3 linked regions of the Arabidopsis thaliana genome follow. The protein of the gene in region 2 purifies or fractionates together with the protein of the main gene of each other region. This does not show direct contact. Each region holds a gene or a part of one and is shown on either strand. Other genes may lie near its edges.

Region 1 (6,059 bases), on a different chromosome or scaffold from region 2:
AAAAATTGCAAGAAATATTACACACAAGCTTAACAATTCACCTACAACTACAACACTACAACAGATACTCAATAAATTTCAGTAAATATAAGATTACCTGAAGTTGCTCTTTTTTTATTTATTGAATACCATGAGGTTTTAAGCCGAAACCCGTAATTCTCCAAAGCCCGAAATCACATCATGTAATATTAGTTTCATCTCAAACGTCACTCGAACCGGCGACCTCTAAGCATGTAAATTGCTTAACGATCTTTGGAGCCAAGAATGGCAAAATCACAATCCCACAATGGAAACAATATAAAAGTTAACTAAGCTAATCCAACAATGCAAAGAGGAACTCTATAGAGATTATATTATTTTCAATCATACAAGAAAAAAAAATTGCAAAAAATATTAAACACAAGCTTAACAATCACATGCTTTATGAATAGTATCGGATACGATAGGGGGTTAATTCGACACTAATGATGATGATAAGATCCAAAATGCTGAAAGAGGTAAGGGAGGGTCCAATAGTTATTGGTAAACTTTACGGACACTAGCAAGAAAAAGGAAGCCTCCTAATTTCCTTATAGCAATGGTCAAGAGAATCTCATTCCACTAAAACTATTAAACCTTTATTATGTCCTTTAAGGGACTAGACTCTAATGATCATTATCATATCAAAGCTTCTATCAAAACTTTTGTCCCTTCACTAAAATTTTATGTGGTAGCTAAAAGAATGGTCATTCTAAAAATCTCTCATTTCAAAGTATATATTCTTCCAACTGGCTTATAACCCCACACATTGCTTTTCTCCTCCTACATATAAGGAGCTCCACACTCCCTCAAACTAAACCAATTCAAGTCATCTCTATCCGTCAACAATACAAACCAACCTTCTCAATTCCTCTCTTTTCATCCACATTTTCACTAGCTAATGGCTTCTAGTTCAATGAGCACCTCATCATGGACAGCTAGAGAGGACAAGCAATTCGAAATGGCGTTGGCGAAATTCGACAAGGACACTCCTGACCGTTGGCAAAAAATTGCAAGGGCAGTTGGTGGGAAATCAACTGAAGAAGTAAAGCGACACTATGAATTGCTCCTTAGGGATGTGAATGACATTGAGTCAGGACGCTATCCACAACCTAGGTACCGTAACACTAATTGAAGCCATTAATAAAATGCCTTTCTATCAAGAAGAGGACATTTGAGAGAATCTATAAAGAACTAAGAATTTCGATGTATTTCTTATATTCTATTTGCTTTCTTTTTTTGTTTTTTTTTTTAATTTCTGTTTGGTTTTCAGATATATAATAATCTCTCTCAATATCCATCCTATTCTAATCCAATCAATTTAAGTTCATATAGTAACAGTCTCGGAACATTCTATCAGTTTTATGGATTAAGCATACGAAAAATCAGAAATCATCGAGATTTGATCGATCAAACTTCGTATAAGTCGAAGTCATTATTATTTATTTATGATAAATTATAAATCGAAGTTGATAGAGAAAAGCAAGACTTATTTTTGCACTATAAACCAACATCAATGCGTAGCATGAGATCAATAAACATAATCTTCACACTGAAATCGAAGGATTCACGAAACAAAATTATTGATGTTCAATGAAAGAGGAGAAGATGAATGTTTCGAAGTTCGGTAACGGAGTAATTATGACTGCTAATATCCTTCGGGTTACCGTGAACTACACGTTATGTAAGCAAATTTTGGGCGGGAACTTTTACACTCTTTTGTTTCTTAATATACACATTTATTTTTAAAATATTTCAGTTGTTGAAAATTAACTAATACACTACAAGCTCAAATATTTATATATTTCTCTATATAGAAATAAATTTATGGACAAAAAAACGAAAATATGCTTAAACGTAAAACTAATATAAACGATATTATTAAACACAATTTGTATAGGGGAAAAAAAAACGATCAAAGATTCAATTCTCCTGTCAAAGGATCAAATGTGAAAAATGGCCTTACAAATGGGCTAAAATATGGGCCTATATTTAATTTTTGGCCCATATCTGGATTCGAGTAGTCTCCAAACAACCGATGTGTCATACATAGCTCACAAGTCAGTCATAACTCATAACCTAGCCACCGTGGGTTTATGCTCGGGCCTACCGGAGAGACATTTCCGACGACTGTGCACAATCATTTCTATTAACCTTGAGAGTACCATTTTCTCATTCCGAAATGTTTGAATTGTAAAAGGACTTTTGTTTCTTGCTTGGGGTTTAGGAGGCTGCTTTTTAGTCGTATTTCAATGGCTGCTTCTAGATTATGTTCCGCGGCGGCGATAGCTGCTGCGTTCACTTCAATGTCGATGTCACAGAACCGCGCTTACGCTGACTCGCGATTTCGCTTTCCTTTCTTCTCTTCTTCACCTCCGGCAGAAGAATCTCCAACCGATCATAAGTCTTCTTCGAATTCTAAATCGGAGACTAAACCTGACTCCGATGAGCCTAAAGGATCTGGTTTCGATCCTGAGTCATTGGAAAGAGGTGCTAAAGCTCTTCGTGAAATCAATAGCTCTCCTCATTCCAAACAGGTGATAATTGAATCTCTTTCGAGAAATCAACAAGCTCTAGAGTCGTTGATTCTTGTGTTTTGAGACGTTGCTTACATGTTATTGTGTTCACCAGGTGTTTGATCTAATGCGAAAGCAGGAGAAGACTCGATTAGCTGAATTAGCGGCTGAGAAAGAACATAATGAAGCTATTCAAGCTAGCAAGGACATTGTTAGTAACTTGCTCTTCCTTATGTTATATATTGAAAATTTGAGCATGGAGGTTTTGATATGATGTTCCATTGCATTGTCTTTCAAGTTACATTCTCTAAATCTTATTAGGATGTTGGAATCAACTGTCTTTTCGGTGTCTTTGTTGTTTCCTGCTTCAAAGTTTTGCTGAACATTCGTTGCAGAATCTGAAATTTATTATGTTGTAACATTTTAAGTCTGGGAAGCGACAAATATGATTGTTTTATGGGGCTTTGAATGAGCAGGAAAGACAGCGGAAATTGGCAGAGGATCAGAGAAATTTAGTGCAGCAACAGGCCCAAGCGAAAGCGCAAAATCTTAGATATGAGGATGAGTTGGCCAGGAAGAGAATGCAGGTACATTTTTAGAAAGAAACTGTGAACCTATGTGTAACATTTTAAGGTCTTGTGAGGGTTCTTTACTGAGAAGAAGTCTTTGACTTGGAAATTTTGCAGACAGATAATGAAGCTCAGAGACGGCATAATGCTGAATTGGTTTCGATGCAAGAAGCATCTTCTATACGGAAAGAGAAAGCAAGAATTGCCACGGAAGAACAGATTCAAGCACAGCAGCGCGAGACTGAGAAAGAGAGAGCGGAACTTGAGCGAGAAACAATTCGCGTGAAAGCTATGGCTGAGGCTGAAGGCCGAGCTCATGAAGCTAAACTCACTGAGGAGCAGAATAGAAGAATGCTTCTAGATAAGATAAATGGTGAAAGGGAGAAATGGCTTGCAGCAATCAACACGACTTTCAGTCACATTGAAGGTATGGAACTTATAAGCATTGTCCCTTAGATATACACATCTTGTTATACTTAGATTCCCTCAGTTTCTAGTTTCTTTTATATCTGTGGTTCTCCTTGGATTTTTCTGAAATTAAGCAACCTTCTGAGGAATATTTGAGAAGACAATCACCTGGCCAATTATGATTCTCTTCTCTAGGAAGTTATATGCTTCTGATATTTTGGAAATGTGGCTTCATATTCACTTCCCTATATGATCTTGGCAGGAGGAGTAAGGACCTTATTAACTGATCGAAGTAAATTGATTATGACTGTTGGAGGAGTTACGGCATTAGCCGCTGGGGTTTACACAACTCGGTATGCATTGCTTAACATGATTTAAGAAGCCTAACATAAGTAAATTGATTATTATCGCATTTTTAAAACTTATACAGCTGTGATTTAAGAAGCCTAATCGTTCTTTTCTTGACAACAGAGAAGGTGCTAGGGTTACCTGGGGTTATATCAATAGAATTCTTGGGCAGCCATCACTGATCAGAGAATCTTCCATGGGCCGATTCCCATGGGCAGGCTCAGTGTCTCAGTTTAAGAACAAACTTAGCACAGCTGCAGGGGCAGCAGCATCTGCAGAAGGAGAAAAGCCTCTTGAAAATGTAATTCTCCATCGTTCTTTGAAGACGAGAATTGAGCGTCTTGCAAGAGCCACAGCAAATACCAAGTCACATAAAGCACCATTCCGAAACATGATGTTTTATGGGCCTCCAGGTACCGGAAAAACTATGGTGGCGAGGGAGATTGCTCGGAAGTCGGTGAGTTTGTTTTCTTTATGCAACAGAGAACCTGAGCCAAGTTCAGGAATCTACAATAGATTGAACCATTACATGCCTCACTTATTTACATCTGTTTGATTATTTCGTTCTGCAGGGTCTTGATTATGCTATGATGACAGGAGGAGATGTTGCTCCTCTTGGTGCACAGGCTGTTACAAAGATCCATGAAATATTTGATTGGGCTAAGAAATCAAACAAAGGGTTACTGCTTTTCATCGATGAAGCTGATGCTTTCCTATGCGAGTAAGATGCTTTCACCTTTTACCTCAAGCCTTCAGTTATATTACTGATTCTCATCTACTAGACCTCTAAAATATAGAATATAGTTGAACAAAAATTTCTTGTATTCTGATTGCAAACACAATTCCACAATGTAGTATAGTCGCAGTAGGATCAGTGGATTGTTCTTGCGCATTGTTACTTCTACTGTATCTCCAGAGTTCTCTTGTCTTAATAGTTATCAAATTCTTGATCTTTTATCACAGACGTAACAGCACTTACATGAGTGAGGCTCAGCGCAGCGCTCTGAACGCGTTGCTCTTTCGAACCGGTGATCAATCGCGGGACATAGTCCTTGTCCTGGCTACAAACAGACCTGGAGATCTCGACAGTGCAGTCACTGACAGGATCGACGAAGTTATCGAGTTTCCTCTCCCTGGTGAAGAAGAACGCTTCAAGCTCCTCAAGCTCTATCTCAACAAGTACCTAATGGGTGACGACAAGAAAGGTGAGAAAGACTCAAACCTTAAATGGAGCAACTTGTTCAAGAAGAAGAAGTCACAGAAGATAACCATTGAAGGAGACCTAACCGACCAAGTGATTAAAGAAGCTGCAAAAAAGACAGAAGGCTTTTCTGGTCGTGAAATCGCTAAGCTTGTCGCCGGTGTTCAAGCTGCGGTATATGGACGACAGGATTGTGTCTTGGATTCCCAACTTTTTGAAGAAATTGTGGATTATAAGATCGAAGAACATCACCAGAGAATCAGACTTGCGACTGAAGGTGGCCAATCGTTTCCGTAGATCTTTTTGTATCACCGAATCACTCCGTTGTTTCGATTCTATTAAACTGAAATAGTAACATTGTTTGAGTAACCGGTTCAATTTCGGTTAGCTGGAATTTGGTCCAATTTTTATCGTAGGTTTCCCGGTTATACAAACCGCTTCAGACACATGTGATGTGACCTCTCTAATCTTATTGCTTTCAAGTTTCAAAGTGTGGTCTCTGAGGGGAACACGGCCAGCCGTATAATAGGACACGTGGTGAATACTCAGAGAAAGCTCCACAACCAAACCGCATCCTTGGTTGCCACGTAACCTCGTGCAAACACGTGGCGAACAGTAACCGCTTCTCGGAAAGACCTCTGGTCTTTGGATTCGAACGTCTCTCTATAACTATAACTTCCGAGGACATTGGAACTAGGATCAAAACTTTTTAAAAAGGGACAAAACTAAATTGGTCATAGCAAATTCAAAGAAGTTTGATTCGGAATCACTGGTTAAAGAGATGATGGAGAGAAGAAGAACGGCATTGGTATTGTTTGTGGTAGTGGTGGTGTTGACGTGGCAAGAGGGTGTATTGGGGAAATGGTTAGAGTCGACGGCGAAGGAAAAGACCGGTTCATGGGCTGGTTGGGTCTCCGACAAAATCACCACGTAAGTGATATCTAATATCCGAAACTGAAACACACCTGTGGTTGAATCTGTCCTTTACGTAACCATCAC
Region 2 (6,311 bases):
GCTTTGGGATTTTTCTCTTTTGTTTCAGTGTTTGTTCTTCGTTTCGTCTTCAGACCTTAAGGAAGGGCGATTTGTATTAGTAAGCAATAAGCGTCGGTCCGATTTAAAGCCCATCTTCTATTTTCACTCAATTTGGGTTTCTATCATAGTTGGGATTTATTTATTTTGTAAAATTTTCCACTAATAGTCTAAAATCTAAATACTATCTAATTTTTTAAATTATTATTATATGTCATATTACCATTAAATAGTTGCTTATATAAAAAAAGAGAAACCACAATAGATTTTTTTCCAAGAAAATATATTATTTTGAATATTTACAATTGGAAAATAAAGATATACAATATGATCCAATACAAGAAAAGAATATGAACATCATAATGATAACAATTAAATTAGCAATGGAAAAAAAAAAATTGGATATCCAAACATAAATAAAATTTAAAATGTGTAACCAATCCAATTATTAATGATAGTTATTTATTTATTAATGACACATCAACAAAAAATTGGATTATTATTTTGACTTACAGTATATAGTAAATAGAGAGATAGTATGTGTTCTTCAATTTTTTCACAAGACCATCAAGAGAATCTCCAGAAACATATTACTATCATTAGAAAAACTCAAAAAATAACATAAGTGTTTTTAACCCGAAAGAAGAAGAGAAGAAAAGAATGACTAAAAAACGATATGAATAAACAATTAACAATGTGTGGAATAAAGAGCAATGGAATGGGAACAACAGAACATTAGAAGTAATTACCTCAAATCATCTAACAAAGATTTGATTTTATTCATGAAGGTTGCAACGACGAAGATATGGGTGATCAAACTTGATGTACTTGGTCCAATACGGCCGATATTTGGACATTGCCAACTCCAACCATGGTTTCATGTTCCCGTTATAGTGAACCACTGCTGCATTCTCAATGTCCTTCTTGTCGATACTCGGGTTATATCCAAGTCCCAGCACATGCCACGCCTTGTTTAAGGGATGTGTTAATCCGTAGAATGTTATTAATCCTGGTGGCAATGTCCCTAGCTTCCATAGTGTCCTGTTCTCATTCTAAACAACACAAGCCAAAATGAGCAAACCACAATAAATAAAATAATAAACCATCATTAGACTATTTGTTGCAAAGAATTAAAGAGTTATTTACCATGTTTTGCCACTTGTGGTATATACCAGTGATGTCTCTCTTCTTCCATTCCTTTAGGTCGAACATGTTCATTCCATAAGCCCATCCACAAGCATTTGGATTGAAGTTCCTCGCAATGTGAGGATTCGAAAAGTTGAGATACTTGTCGAATCTGTGGAAACTTTCCCCACAGGTTTCGACTGCACCGTTGACTTTGCCGTTCAGGTTAACTTCCCAGAGTGGAGTCAAGTCTTTCTGAACAATGATGTCATCGTCCAGGAAGAGGATTTTGTTCAGCTTGGGATAAACCTCAGGGAGGTAGAATCTCAAGTGATTCAACATGGATAGATACTTTGGGTTTCTGTATTTTAGATTCGAAGAGCCTGAAGTTGGATGGTCTGCTTTAAAATAGTACTCTCTCATTGCTGCAGATTCAAGCTGACGAAGGACAGGACAGTAAGATGAATTGAGCCACTTAAACTCATCGACGTTTTCCACATGTATGGTTGCCTTTCCGGGTGGGTTTAGGAGGAACCACATGTTCATTGCTCCGAAATTGAGTTTATCCGTGACAAGGTGAAAAACATGCTTAGAAGGATCCTGCACATATAGGGAATAAAGACATTTTTAATTTCAGCTCTGCAATGCGTATCTAAAATTAAACATACAGATATTAGGACGAATCAAGTGATAAGAGCTAATGATTTTACCTTGGCATTCATGATGGTTGAGTTAACAACTACTGATGCAGCTAATACATTGTCGGAAAAGAGGGCATAATGATAAAGATTAGGGTTTTCTAGGTTTTCACTCCGAGGGAATTTTCTTTTCTCCGGAGACAGAAGATAGTAATCGATAGTCAAGCGCATTGATAGGCAATGGATAGGATTTGGAATGGTTTTTGCTGCTAACTGAGCCAGAAAAGTACTCTGCTTCTTTAAGCTCCTCACTTGTTCGTCGGCAGTCTGAAGCATTGCTCTCAGCTTTCCAGTAACCAGCTTGCAGTCATATAACTGCATCTTAGCTTTAGCCAAGACTTGACCCATGGCTCTGAGTTTCTCATGCGCACTATATGAAAAGTAATTTAGAGAGCATGTTACTTTAAGAAGTACACAAGCAGTCGAAAAAAGGCAAGTAGTAGAAACCAAAAGGAGTAATTTACCTCCGAGGAAGATCAGCATCAGATGTTGCTTCCCCCAAAACCCGTTGGCTGTCCTTAAGTCGGGCCTGGAGTTCTTGTAACAAATCGTTCTTGTTTTTCAATTTTGCAATCCCACTATAGACTCTAGCCATTATTACTTGATCCCGCATCAAGCGTATATTTGAATCAGAGTTGTCATTCTCATTTTCTCTTCTCCAAATACTGTATTTACCAAGGACTGCAGAATCAACAGACTTAGAGCGTTCAATGGCAGCATTTTCGAGTTTCAAAATCGTGTCATCATTGTGCTGAACTAACTCATTTGCCCGCATCTCACGCCTTTTCTCTCTTAGTTGCTGAAATGTCAAGATGGATAAAAAAAATGTTGATAATGAAATACTAAAGACACAAGAAGTCCCTAAAGAGTATTTGATGCATCATGACATTGAACTTTAATAAATAATAGTTACCCTTCTGTGAATCTTTGTAGGTGTCTCAACTTTCTGATGGATACTATCTGCATCAGCAATATATAGAAGAATCAGAGATGGAAAACGTCAAATCAGAGATGCCACTTAAATTAAAAGCCACTACCTTTTGAAATGCTGTCACGTTTTTCATTCAGGTTATTAGATTTGACATCAGGAGTTGCTGGATTCTGCCTCAAGTACAGCAAAAGATGAAAACTATGAGAAAACATCATTGAGAATAGAAGCTTAGAAAAGAAATGAGACACTTAAACCACACCTCAGAATGTCTAAAGGAGGGGTCTACTCCGGTTCCCCGCCATGATGCAGACAAATTGTTTTTCTTAAAAGAATCAAGGCTAAGAGGACCCAAATCAGCTGTGCTGGTTGCTATAACATCTAGTATCTGGACAACAAATTTAGTAAGAAACTATCCAGTCTCAGAAAAACTGACAAAGACAATAAATCGAAGCAAAGTTTCAAAGATTTAAACTACCTCTTTCGAGAAAAGAGATCTAACAGATTGCATTGCTAAACGTTCTCTCCAGTCAAGATTCTGCCAAAAAAAACAAAAAAAAACAGTCCAATCAAACAACATTCTTACTTCTGTCAAAACATACAAGTAGATAATTTGATAGAGTTTAAGCCGACATACCTGCTTCACAGAAACAATTGAATAATCTGCAGTAATGAAAGTAAGCTCCATCAGATGGACAATTCGCAGATAAATTATATATGTAACACAAAATCGAGAGACACTAATCCTTGAAACCAAAGCTCGATAGTAAAATAGCAAAGAACCAATTTTGCCAGTCTAGAAAAATAGCAATTGTCTGAATATCATCAGTGTCACATCAAGCTAAAAGTAACTTAAAATTGAGATAGTAAAGGCTGAAAACTAAAGAGTGGTAAAACTATGCTAATGTTCTCAATCATTAATAGAATTTCTGAATCTCTATACATGAATCTGCAAATTAGTATATAGAAAGATAAGCAATATATGCATACCATTTGAGGAATCGATATACACTCCTCGGCCAACAAAGAAGCAAAGAGGTGCAAAAACACAGAAAAATATGAGAAGCACAAGCACAGATCGAGATCCACCACCACTTCCTCTAATCCGGTTAACTCCAGATAGCCCTCGCTTTAGCGCCATCCCTATCAAATTCAAAAAAAAAACTAAATCAAGCAACGAAATCGTGGAAGCAACCCGAATATAATGAAGGAGAGAAACAAATCATACTCGGAATCTAATAAGAGATCAGGTGAGAGAGATTTGAGAAGAATCCAGCGTTTACGCAAAAGCTTCACAGGTAAACAGACTAAAACGCCATTGCTAATTTCCCGGCGAGATCTGACAAAACTCTAGCACAACGGCGACGAAGAGAAAACTCGGAATTGAAGCTAATGATTACGATGAAGAAGAAGAAGAGAGTATGAAGAGGATGATGATTGATTGATATGTGTAACAGAAAAACGTTGATTCACCGACAATTAACCAATCGCTATCAACGCCAGGATTTTTGTTTGCAGAGAAGAGAGAACCTCACGCGTACTTTTGACACAGATCTCTTTTATCGATTACAATTTACGAATCTCCTCCTATCCGGTTTACTTGGTTAAAATTAAAATCGATATTATACCAAACGAACATAAAATTGATTTGTTTTTTCTTCCTTTTTTGGGCTGATGATAAATAGAACGATGACACTGCTTGCTTTCAAGTTTCGACTTCGACCCATTAATAATTAACTGGGCTTTTGTATATATTATAAGCCCAAGCCTATATAGATAGATGCGTCACGTTGAATTTCGCCTTTCTAATTTAATAGTTTTTTTTTTCCAGTTTTCATGAAAATACATTAATTTTTAATTTGATATGACAATTCAATTTTCATCTAGCAGTATAGTATGGCATGATTTTATAATTTAATTTACAATTTTGCATGTATGTAATGACTACACAAATTAAAAATGATGATAGTAATTTGTTTGGTTTATTACTAAATGATTTACAATACAGTGTAACACTGTAACTAGACCTAGTAATGGTTTTTTTTTAGCTGATTTTATTTTTAGTAATAATGATCAAATACAACCTTGGTAAATGTTTGATTCAGTTGTCAAACCATATAAATAAGATATAACCAAAATTTGTTTTCTCTTGAAAGGCTTTTTCATAAAAACCTTACTTTTTTTTCTTTTGAAAAGGAATGCAACTTTTCAACAACAAATGATGAACCTTCCTGCGCCTTTTGACCAATTAAAACTTCCCGAACTAGTAATAAACTTCACACACGTAATATAGTTACACTCTGTTTTTTGTCATTAGGGTCGATGTCTTATATGTTTTTTACTGACTCCACATCGGTTCAGGTTGAACAACATTTAGTGGATGAACGTTTAATTGTTTACATGTACAAATTAACCTTGACGAAATCATAGCCATTGAACAAAAAAAAAACAGTTTTATATAAGTGTTAGTTTGAAGAATCACAATAGATGTAAACTTTATTAAGTAAAAAGGTTTGGTCCAACTGTTGCATATCAAAAAAGAATATCAATTTTTCTTGAGTGCCAGTTTGAACTTTGAACAATATGTCATCAAATACTGATATTAAAAGAAATAATGATGATTTTTCCAGTGGTCCAACTGTATTTCCATACTTCTAATTCTAGGTAGGAGAAAGTTTTCGTTTTGTTCCTATCAATTAATTTTTTATATACCAAAAGAATTTTCATTTGGGTCAAACAACAGTAAGATCATTACCATTTTACACTCTAGCTATAATTAATAAACGGAAAGTGAATTCTTCTTGCATGGTAATTGAAATGAGAACTTTGTAATTTATGATGAGATATTGTCCTATTGAGATAAAACTCGGTTCCACTATGTATGTAGGGTTGAAATAGGTTGATAAGAAAAAGAGAAACTATAGGGTTAATAAATACGCTTTTTTTTTTTACGTATATCCAGCAATAGAACTAAAGTAATTCATTTTGATTGATATGTACATGTAAACTTCCAACATTGAGAGATATTAAAGACAAGAAACAACGTAGAAAGAAGAGAGAGAGCGAGTGAGAGATGGGAAGAGGCAAAGTGGAAGTGAAGAGAATTGAGAACAAGATCACTAGACAAGTAACCTTCTCCAAAAGAAAAAGTGGTTTGCTCAAGAAAGCCTACGAACTCTCTGTTCTTTGTGATGCAGAGGTTTCTCTCATAATCTTCTCCACCGGTGGCAAGCTCTACGAGTTCAGCAATGTCGGGTACGTATATCCATTCATTCAAGATCATTAATTCGGTTTTCCTAATGATGAAAACCTAGGTTTTCATGGGTAATATGATTAAGATCATCCATGTTTGATTTGTGTCTGTTCTTAAGATCAAGAAACCAAATTCTGTCTTGTGGGTATCTGAAAAAGGTTATGTCTTTTTATTCTAACCCTAACTAGTTAAGGTTGATCACCATCCATCGATCTCTCAGGATCCATCGGACATATGGGTCAGTTTAGCTTTTAGATCCGGTAAATCTTTTGAAAGAAAACTTCTTTGT
Region 3 (7,696 bases), on a different chromosome or scaffold from region 2:
AACAACAGCCTGTTCATGGTCAATTCACATCGCTTAGTAGCATGACCGAGGAATCTCTGTAAGAGAAAAGAGATGGACAAGAAAATTTAGAGCTTTCGAGCTTTTGCATAAGGATAGTTCACCTTTGGAACATTGGCTGCAAGGCTGTTAAGAACAGCTTCAACGTAACCCCGTACTTCTTGGGACATCCACCGGAGCTCCTCTTCTGGATCGATGGGTTTCCTAACCATCTTATCCTGAAATACAGACAAGGAAAAAAACGTAAGTCTCAGAAAATATTATAAACAATAAAAACCTTAAATGTCAAACATAACTTATGTCAAGTTTAAAAGTAGTATCATGCATACCCCATAAACTGAGCCTTCTATAGGAAAAATGTTTCAATAATAAAAATTCGACAATGTTCAATAAAACATAAATAGCTTTGTTTGCTCTTCCAACAGTTTCAAACCTTCCGAAGTGAAGTTTCAAACTTTCTTCATAGTGATAATAAGTAATCCATAAGACTAGTGAACGTATCTAACATAGATTTAAGGAAGAGGAAATGTAAGAAAAGCTGCCCATGAGTGACTCACAAGTGAACCTTCTGAAAGACTCTGCCTCATGGAAACACTGCCCACTTGGCCTCCACGAGCCTGGATAACCTTTTGCAACTTATTAATCCACTCGTTCTTGTCGACTACACTCTCAGCCTTAAGCACAAGGGCATTGTGAGCTGCAACATAATAGTTTGAGGAAAACTCATAAAAGTGCGAATAGAAGATTAAGAAGTTTGAATTCTTATAATGATTGATTTATGTACCTTTGAGTACAGTCTTATAGGGAACCTTGCAGGTTATTTTAAACACAAGGCCTGGTCCTTTTGAATCAGGTCCATTTGCCTTCTTGTCCTTCGAGCTCTTTGACTTTTCTACTTCGTCCTCGGGGATTTCTTCAATAGTGCATTCCTGAGTGGATTAATAAAGTTGGAGGAAGTATAATTAGAAAAACATGGAAAAAATGTTATCTATAGAGTATCCAAATTTCTCATCGATAATAACAGAACTATTAAATATTTGAAGCATAAGCTTCAAAATACACAAGTAATTGTCACTCTCCAAGAAGGAAACAGTGTGGGAGAAAATAACAAGGTGAATACGAACTATATTCTTCTCTAATTCTTTTTTCCATGTCATATCTAATTATAGTTCACCTTTGGCAGAAAATAAAGCATAGGAAGAGAATGGTACCTCCAAAGTTATCGTGCCCCGAAAGTTTCTTTCTTCTTGCTTTTTGGTATAGCCAAGCTAGAAAAAGGTAAACAGTAAAGTCAGTAAGTTCTCAACAACTGAAGAATATACGTTTCAAAATGCTGACCTTTCCAGTTTTCTCATTCAGAACAAACCATCGCCTACTCCACCCATTTGTTTTTGCACTTTTCTTCATTAAGTACCCTAAATGAAAAGAGTAAGTATTTGTTATCTACCTTGGAAGTTAGTTTTGTCAAGTTAGTTTTAAGTGATAAAGAAGAAAAAGACATGAAGAAATCATGCACTTGGACTAAGAGCAAAGCTTTGCAGCAATAAAATCATGCAACGTAAGGAAAGCAAATCGGGAGTGAAAAAGCAGAATGAAACTTTTTAGACAGTAACTGGGTAGATGTATATTAGAATAACAACCTGCTGTTATCTCCCCCTCAGGTCCAGCAGTTTTCAGACCAGAGACCTCCGGCGTCTCTTTATCTTGCGGACTAGGTTTGTCTTTCATTGATTTTAAGCTACCACCAGCTGTTGGCCCATCTGGCTGAGGACTAGTAGCCTGATAAACATATATGTAGAGAATTTCCACATTATATATTTTCATGTAAAACGATAAAAAAAAAAAAAAAACATTTTTCACTACGTATATCCAAATTGATACAGAATGAACACACACCCTGCTTAAAAGGGACTGCTCTGCATCTTGTCCCTTCTTAGAAGATCGCCCTTTCAGCTCTTCCTCGCGACGTTGTCTTTCCATTCTGATGGAGTCAATACAGTGCATCGTCAGAAAGAGAAATAATTTTCAGTCATGAACCATTGAAAATAAAAACAAAAATTGCAAAGAAAGACAAGCCAAAATACCTCCTTTGCACAAGACGGATAAAATGTTGAGGTGGTACAAAAGCGCGTTCCATATCAACTAGTGCAACCACCATTTTCTTGGCTTCATTCTTGAAACCATCAAGTGCTGCACTTGCTATAGCTACAACCTGGTTGATGATTAGTCAGAAAGGAATAACTGTTACCGAAATGATAAAATATTACTGAATAAAGCACCAAAAAATCATTATTACCTCTCGCTTGAAAGGAGGATATCTCCCAAGTCCAGGTGTAGCATTTGCAGAAGCTGAAACTATGTCAACAAGAACTCGGTGAACCTAATCAAAAGTTAAGACCATGTTAGCTCAACACGTAAATAAGACAGAAGCTGGATGCATGAGTTTTAAAGTAGGAACCAAAAAATAGCTACATCTACGGTAAGGGATATTAACTTACTAAGGCTTATAAACCAGAAAACTTGACAGAACTCTAAATAACAGTTCGAAGAATTAAAGTGAGACAAGCCATAGCCAGTTCACAATGCAGTAAATTTCTAAAATTCAATCCTACTGCATGTACCTAAAAAAACATGTAAACAAGCACACCTCATCAACACAAAGGCGTGCCGGGTCTTTAGCCAACTCAAGGACAATCTTTATCAACGATCTCAACCCTTTCTCTGGAGATATAAGATAAGGTTGATAACCATCTGCCTCCAAAACAACCTGAAAATCAAAGATATTTTGACAAATCAAGTCTCAAAACTTGTCTCGTGCAGAAACTTAGGACAGAAGAAGACACCCACCCTTTTAACATTGTTCAGGTCAAAATGTCTATCCAATGGAAGCTGCTTGATACGGTTGGGGAAATTTCCTTCAAAACTTGCAACAACTTTCCAACCACTTCCCTGAACAAGAATCAAAAAGTTTTGAGAAAAACATTTGCCAAGCTCCAAAAGGGACTTCAGCCCATAAACTGAACACAGACAAGTACAAAAACTCTATATCAAACACTCAGTTGGCTTATACACATATTATAAACATCCACTATCAGATTCATGAGATTCCCAACAATATAATGTGCTCTTACCAAGCGTAGGCTAGCAAGAGACTTTCCACTACACTAGTACCAAATCTGAAATGGCTGATTGCTAATATTTGAAGAGTTCTTCTCTCTCACTATATTCTTGAATTTTCGACTAAATCTAGTTAACTTTTGTAAGAATGTACTTACTTCACCACCAGCCAAGTGCAGAAGAAACTTGTCTTCAAACTCACGGCAAAGCTCCAAAGCTATAGCCCTTGTACCTTCAGCACTGTTAACTAGTTGTTCACCAAGCCTCGCTAGCTCATCCTGCACTATTTGAGACTTACCCTGGAGCCTGTACAAAGAATTTGAAAGCCATATGCGTTCAAGCAACCAATGTCATATGCCAACACCATAATAAAAATCATGAAGAAAGCACATATATGGAGAGAAGCAATACCCAGACAGGACACTTGGAAGCCTGAGCTTCATTCTGCTACGAATCTGGCTAGCAAGGGTATCCACCAACGCAATTCTGCCAAGCTTGCTTTGTGGAGCCCCAGTCAAAATGGACTTAAGACTTTCACTCTCAGCACGCCAAGCAGTTTCTAAGGAGTTCTCACCACTTCCAGACTGTGCTGACGCAATTGAAACGGATTGGCCAATAACAGCAACCCATGGAATGTCAGTTGTTTTTGGAGGTCCTTGATTTGAAAGAAGAGCCTGAACAGCTGCAAGGGCTTTCGAGTTCTCTGCTGCCTGGTCAATTTTTCCAATAATGCCTATTGTCCTAGTACCTATAAGTAGGGAGGAGTGATGTTAGCTAATGAGTATTTTAAGCAAACTGAAGTGATAATAGGTAGGTAAATCAACAGTTCTTATCAGGTATACAAATAATAAACAATATTAAGATAAGACAGATCGGAAATACAGATGTACTCACTCTCTGGATCATACTCCTTTGCAATCTTCAGGGCTCGGGATGATGAAATTTCAGATGCCTGGCTAGCAGGCACTATAACCAGCAGTATGGCATCATTGTGTTGCGCGTATTCAGCAATCTTGCAAAGAGACCCAAGAAACAAACAACAATTTCAAAAGGATAAACATGATAATGAATCTATATTATCACTTCAGTAGGAAACCGATAAAAATAGTCAAAATCTTTTGTTTCGTGGTTGTCAGGCAAGTTAAGGATATGACAATGGCATTAAGTAGTTCCAAGCCTCACCATTGACTCGTCCACAATTCTCTGGTCCAGTCCAGGCAGATCAACTAATTTCAATGGTGGAGCTGCAATGTAAAGGGTAAACGTAACAGGTTATGATGGTCAAAGAAAATTTAATACTACGAAACTGTCGGTCATATGTCATATGTCATAACTCATGTTCAAAAGAGTGTGTACTGTTTATGTTAAAGCTCCGTTAGATATTTAATCTGATACCCACCAAAGTAAAGCTAGAAGCTCTAAACTAGTGTACTAGATAGTATATAAGGATAGCAAGATATTACAGCTGACCAGTTCACGGGTATCAAAGATAAATTCATACACCCAACTTAGGTTAGCTAAGGATGTGCTATTTGAAGAGTAGATATAGGCTTGCCACTTATGATTGTGCAAGTAAAAAGGGGCTTACCTGTGCTGGTACGAAGTTTTAAGTTTATTTCATCACGATTCTTCCCTGAGGCTCCTTTGCTAAGTCTATCTTGCAGAGAATGTCTCAAAGCACCTAAAATATACCCATGTAGAACACAATGGAGATATTATGAGAAGACTGATCGAAATTTTTTTATCATAAATGCAGAAAGAGCCTCACATAGCATTGCTAAATTGCATATGTTCATAGATAGAGACTTACTTGCAGAAACTTGTTGAGATTTATTGTCGATTTGCAAGATAATTGCCTTGCTGCTCAAAGAACTCTCCCTGCTCAATTCAATTATTATAGGAGCTCGTGTAGCACCATTCTCACCCGTCGGCTGTGTATAGTAAGTGTAGCAGACACAACAGAGGTCAGTATTAGTATAAGAAAAGGAGTAAGCCAATAATAACCATAGACTCAATGTACAACTTACCAGCACTGGATGCCCAATTAGACTGTTTAGAACTGCAGACTTTCCAGCTCCCTGGTTCAGTATGCAAAAAGAGATAAGTAACAAATAACAAAATACATCAGCCTTCTCCGGCACGAGTCGCTCCTCATGTAACCATATATCCACTAATAAAGAGAATCCCAACAAAACTAGCTATAAACGATGAGTGTGTCCTAGCAAAATTCGATAAAAACCTAATCTAGATCCAGAAGATCCACGATATGGCAATCCAACATACACTCGAACACAGAATAAAACCAGCACGAGCCTAAAGAGAGGAAAATCGAGGAGCGTGGAGTGAGAGCGAGGAACTCACCACATTTCCCAAGGCAACGACGTTGAGGAAAGTGGCAGGGCGCTTGGAAGAAGAGGTTTCGTCGGGATCTTCGTCGGCGAGGAGAGACGCCGCCTGCTTCATCGAATCTGAGAGCTGAGACAACTCATCGATCGCCTCCATCGCGACTAGCAAAAGCCCTCCGCGAATCGAGATCGAGTAACCGATTCAAAGTGAAGAGATCTGGAGGAAGAAGGAAGCCACTCGATTAGATCTGAGCAGACCGGAACCGAAATCGGCGGCAATAGGCGGGGTCTTTCCCGGTGAGACGATGGGCCGGAATTTGGAATCCGGTCGCGATGGTGTTAAGCTAAGATTTTTCGTTGGGGATTTCGTAAGGGAAGGCAGAAATGAGCGAAGACGAGGTCATAAAGAGGACGTACGTAAGATTTCACAATTACACGGGACAAGATTCAAATTTCAAAAGACTTACAAAAATCATATCTTTCTAATTTTTTTCTGATCGGTCTCAAGTGCTTCTTCTTTTTCTTACTTAAAAAAAAAAAAAAAAAAACAATGTGATGTGAAATACACATAAAAAAATAAAAAAAAATTATCAGTTCATTTAACAATTTATCATCTATTAGATCCATTCATATAACATTAGATGATGTTGGAATCCCACATTACTAAATCAATGTGAAGGTTCAAATAAAAATGTAATCAAATGTTGTTGTGGATCTCGTTGTTGTTCATATAGTTCTCGCGACATAATTTACCTCAAGGGAAGGCAAACAAAAAATCTATTCACAAGGTGTAACTATTTTCGTAAACTATTATAGTTTTTTTTTGGACAAACAACCCCTACTAAAATCTATTTGGTGTATGTTTTTTGAATAATTGATCCTACCAACCTAATTTTTTTGAACTATATGTGTTTTTTGTTGCCTGAATCTCATCTTCCCTTCTTTAGAACTGTTGTCTATCATCATACCTTCCAACATCTTAGGACTAGTTTGGCAATGTTGACAATTCTTTGTGATGTATGACAAGTATAATTATAAGGAAAAAATAAATAAACATTGGACATAAAAATCAGAAATTTCCAAGCTAACTATATGAAATTTCTAGGCACATTTCTTGGTTCTTTTGATACCATTTCTTTTTCCTTTTGGACATCTGGATATCATATTGTTTGTTTGGGATACTAGTTCTTCCCAAGTTTTTAATCTTAATTAGCTGCTTTGGATCCTTAATAGAAAAATAAACATTTCATATATTCCGGAAATTAGTATAGCCATCGGTTTTAGATTTTCTGGTGATTAAGATATAAGAAGATATTTTTTCAAATATAATAATGAAAAAACAAAATCTACAAATCATTAAAAAGGAAAAAAAAAATCAAAATTAGAATACAATACATTGTCTCAATACTATAACATAACCAAAAGAAGCATCAATAAATTTTACTAATAGTTAATAAGTACAGAAAAAATCGAAAAATTCTAGAAATGTTAAAAGTAATTTTTTTAAAAATAGTAAGGATATAGAAATTAGATAATCAATAAGTTTGACTACTGGATATCTAGAATTATTTCTATAAAAAAAAAAGTGAAATGTCGGACCAAAGAGTTGACGAGCACTAAACCACGTCACAATTAAACGTGGGCCCTCCGGCCCAATAACTTAAAACCAATAGATTATTCCCATCTGGCAAGATCTGCGGACTTTGAACTCGTTATGCTTTTCGACGTGGAGTTTTAAACTCAATTAATCTAATTAAATTAAGCATAACATTCCAATTAATTTTGTTCTTTTATATATATAAGATCAAAATCAACCACACACACACATAGATTTCAACTGGAAGAAACAAAAGACCAGATTTGTTTATGTTTCTTCTTCTTCTTCTTCCTCTCTGCATGAAATTCAGTTTCTGATCTGTTTCAGTCATCGTTTCTCACTTTCCTCGAAGATTTCCACAGATCCAATTTCCATTTATCCACTTACCTTTTTCGATTTCGTTTGATCCTTGGATTTAATTATATGTTACAAATTTAGGAAATTTCTCGAGGAGATTGAATGCAATGGATTTGTGCTTGAAACAATCAGATTCTCTTTGAATCATAAGAATGTTTCCCTGAAACTTTATTTTTGGGGAACAGAGATCATCACTGTGTTGTTGTTTGGGTAGACAAGTTTTGAGTTTCTCGAACAATGGCGAGAGGAGGGAAAGAGGAAG

What was found.
Region 1: the proteins of GAUT1 (region 2) and AT2G18330 purify together in Arabidopsis thaliana (affinity purification with mass spectrometry, with the first as the bait; one study listed by BioGRID). This does not show direct contact.
Region 3: the proteins of GAUT1 (region 2) and ADL6 purify together in Arabidopsis thaliana (affinity purification with mass spectrometry, with the first as the bait; one study listed by BioGRID). This does not show direct contact.

The regions. Positions count from the first base shown.
Region 1 is NC_003071.7:7,963,559-7,969,617, forward strand, and holds AT2G18330 (AAA-type ATPase family protein), read left to right. Parts: upstream 1-2,076; 5' UTR 2,077-2,270; coding exon 2,271-2,555; intron 2,556-2,649; coding exon 2,650-2,745; intron 2,746-3,010; coding exon 3,011-3,121; intron 3,122-3,220; coding exon 3,221-3,530; intron 3,531-3,773; coding exon 3,774-3,864; intron 3,865-3,982; coding exon 3,983-4,316; intron 4,317-4,431; coding exon 4,432-4,580; intron 4,581-4,822; coding exon 4,823-5,357; 3' UTR 5,358-5,550; downstream 5,551-6,059. Other genes in the region: RL4 (RAD-like 4), read left to right, coding at 920-1,153; AT2G18340 (late embryogenesis abundant domain-containing protein / LEA domain-containing protein), read left to right, coding at 5,842-5,990.
Region 2 is NC_003074.8:22,619,998-22,626,308, reverse strand, and holds GAUT1 (galacturonosyltransferase 1), read right to left. Parts: upstream 4,398-6,311; 5' UTR 3,998-4,397; intron 3,913-3,997; 5' UTR 3,911-3,912; coding exon 3,760-3,910; intron 3,433-3,759; coding exon 3,407-3,432; intron 3,308-3,406; coding exon 3,248-3,307; intron 3,158-3,247; coding exon 3,032-3,157; intron 2,943-3,031; coding exon 2,879-2,942; intron 2,802-2,878; coding exon 2,755-2,801; intron 2,641-2,754; coding exon 2,306-2,640; intron 2,212-2,305; coding exon 1,854-2,211; intron 1,744-1,853; coding exon 1,165-1,743; intron 1,071-1,164; coding exon 795-1,070; 3' UTR 501-794; downstream 1-500. Other genes in the region: AGL13 (AGAMOUS-like 13), read left to right, coding at 5,843-6,024. UniProt on the Arabidopsis thaliana protein: Involved in pectin biosynthesis. Catalyzes the transfer of galacturonic acid from uridine 5'-diphosphogalacturonic acid onto the pectic polysaccharide homogalacturonan.
Region 3 is NC_003070.9:3,368,715-3,376,410, reverse strand, and holds the start of ADL6 (dynamin-like protein 6), read right to left. Parts: upstream 6,010-7,696; 5' UTR 5,638-6,009; coding exon 5,497-5,637; intron 5,214-5,496; coding exon 5,163-5,213; intron 5,067-5,162; coding exon 4,946-5,066; intron 4,817-4,945; coding exon 4,724-4,816; intron 4,380-4,723; coding exon 4,318-4,379; intron 4,148-4,317; coding exon 4,030-4,147; intron 3,884-4,029; coding exon 3,547-3,883; intron 3,442-3,546; coding exon 3,294-3,441; intron 2,968-3,293; coding exon 2,866-2,967; intron 2,786-2,865; coding exon 2,666-2,785; intron 2,399-2,665; coding exon 2,315-2,398; intron 2,231-2,314; coding exon 2,103-2,230; intron 2,000-2,102; coding exon 1,915-1,999; intron 1,798-1,914; coding exon 1,659-1,797; intron 1,434-1,658; coding exon 1,357-1,433; intron 1,287-1,356; coding exon 1,230-1,286; intron 948-1,229; coding exon 803-947; intron 716-802; coding exon 576-715; intron 237-575; coding exon 123-236; intron 10-122; and 1 more. Other genes in the region: AT1G10280 (Core-2/I-branching beta-1,6-N-acetylglucosaminyltransferase family protein), read left to right, coding at 7,672-7,696. UniProt on the Arabidopsis thaliana protein: Microtubule-associated force-producing protein involved in clathrin-mediated vesicle trafficking from the trans-Golgi network to the central vacuole. Able to bind and hydrolyze GTP. Binds specifically to phosphatidylinositol 3-phosphate (PtdIns3P).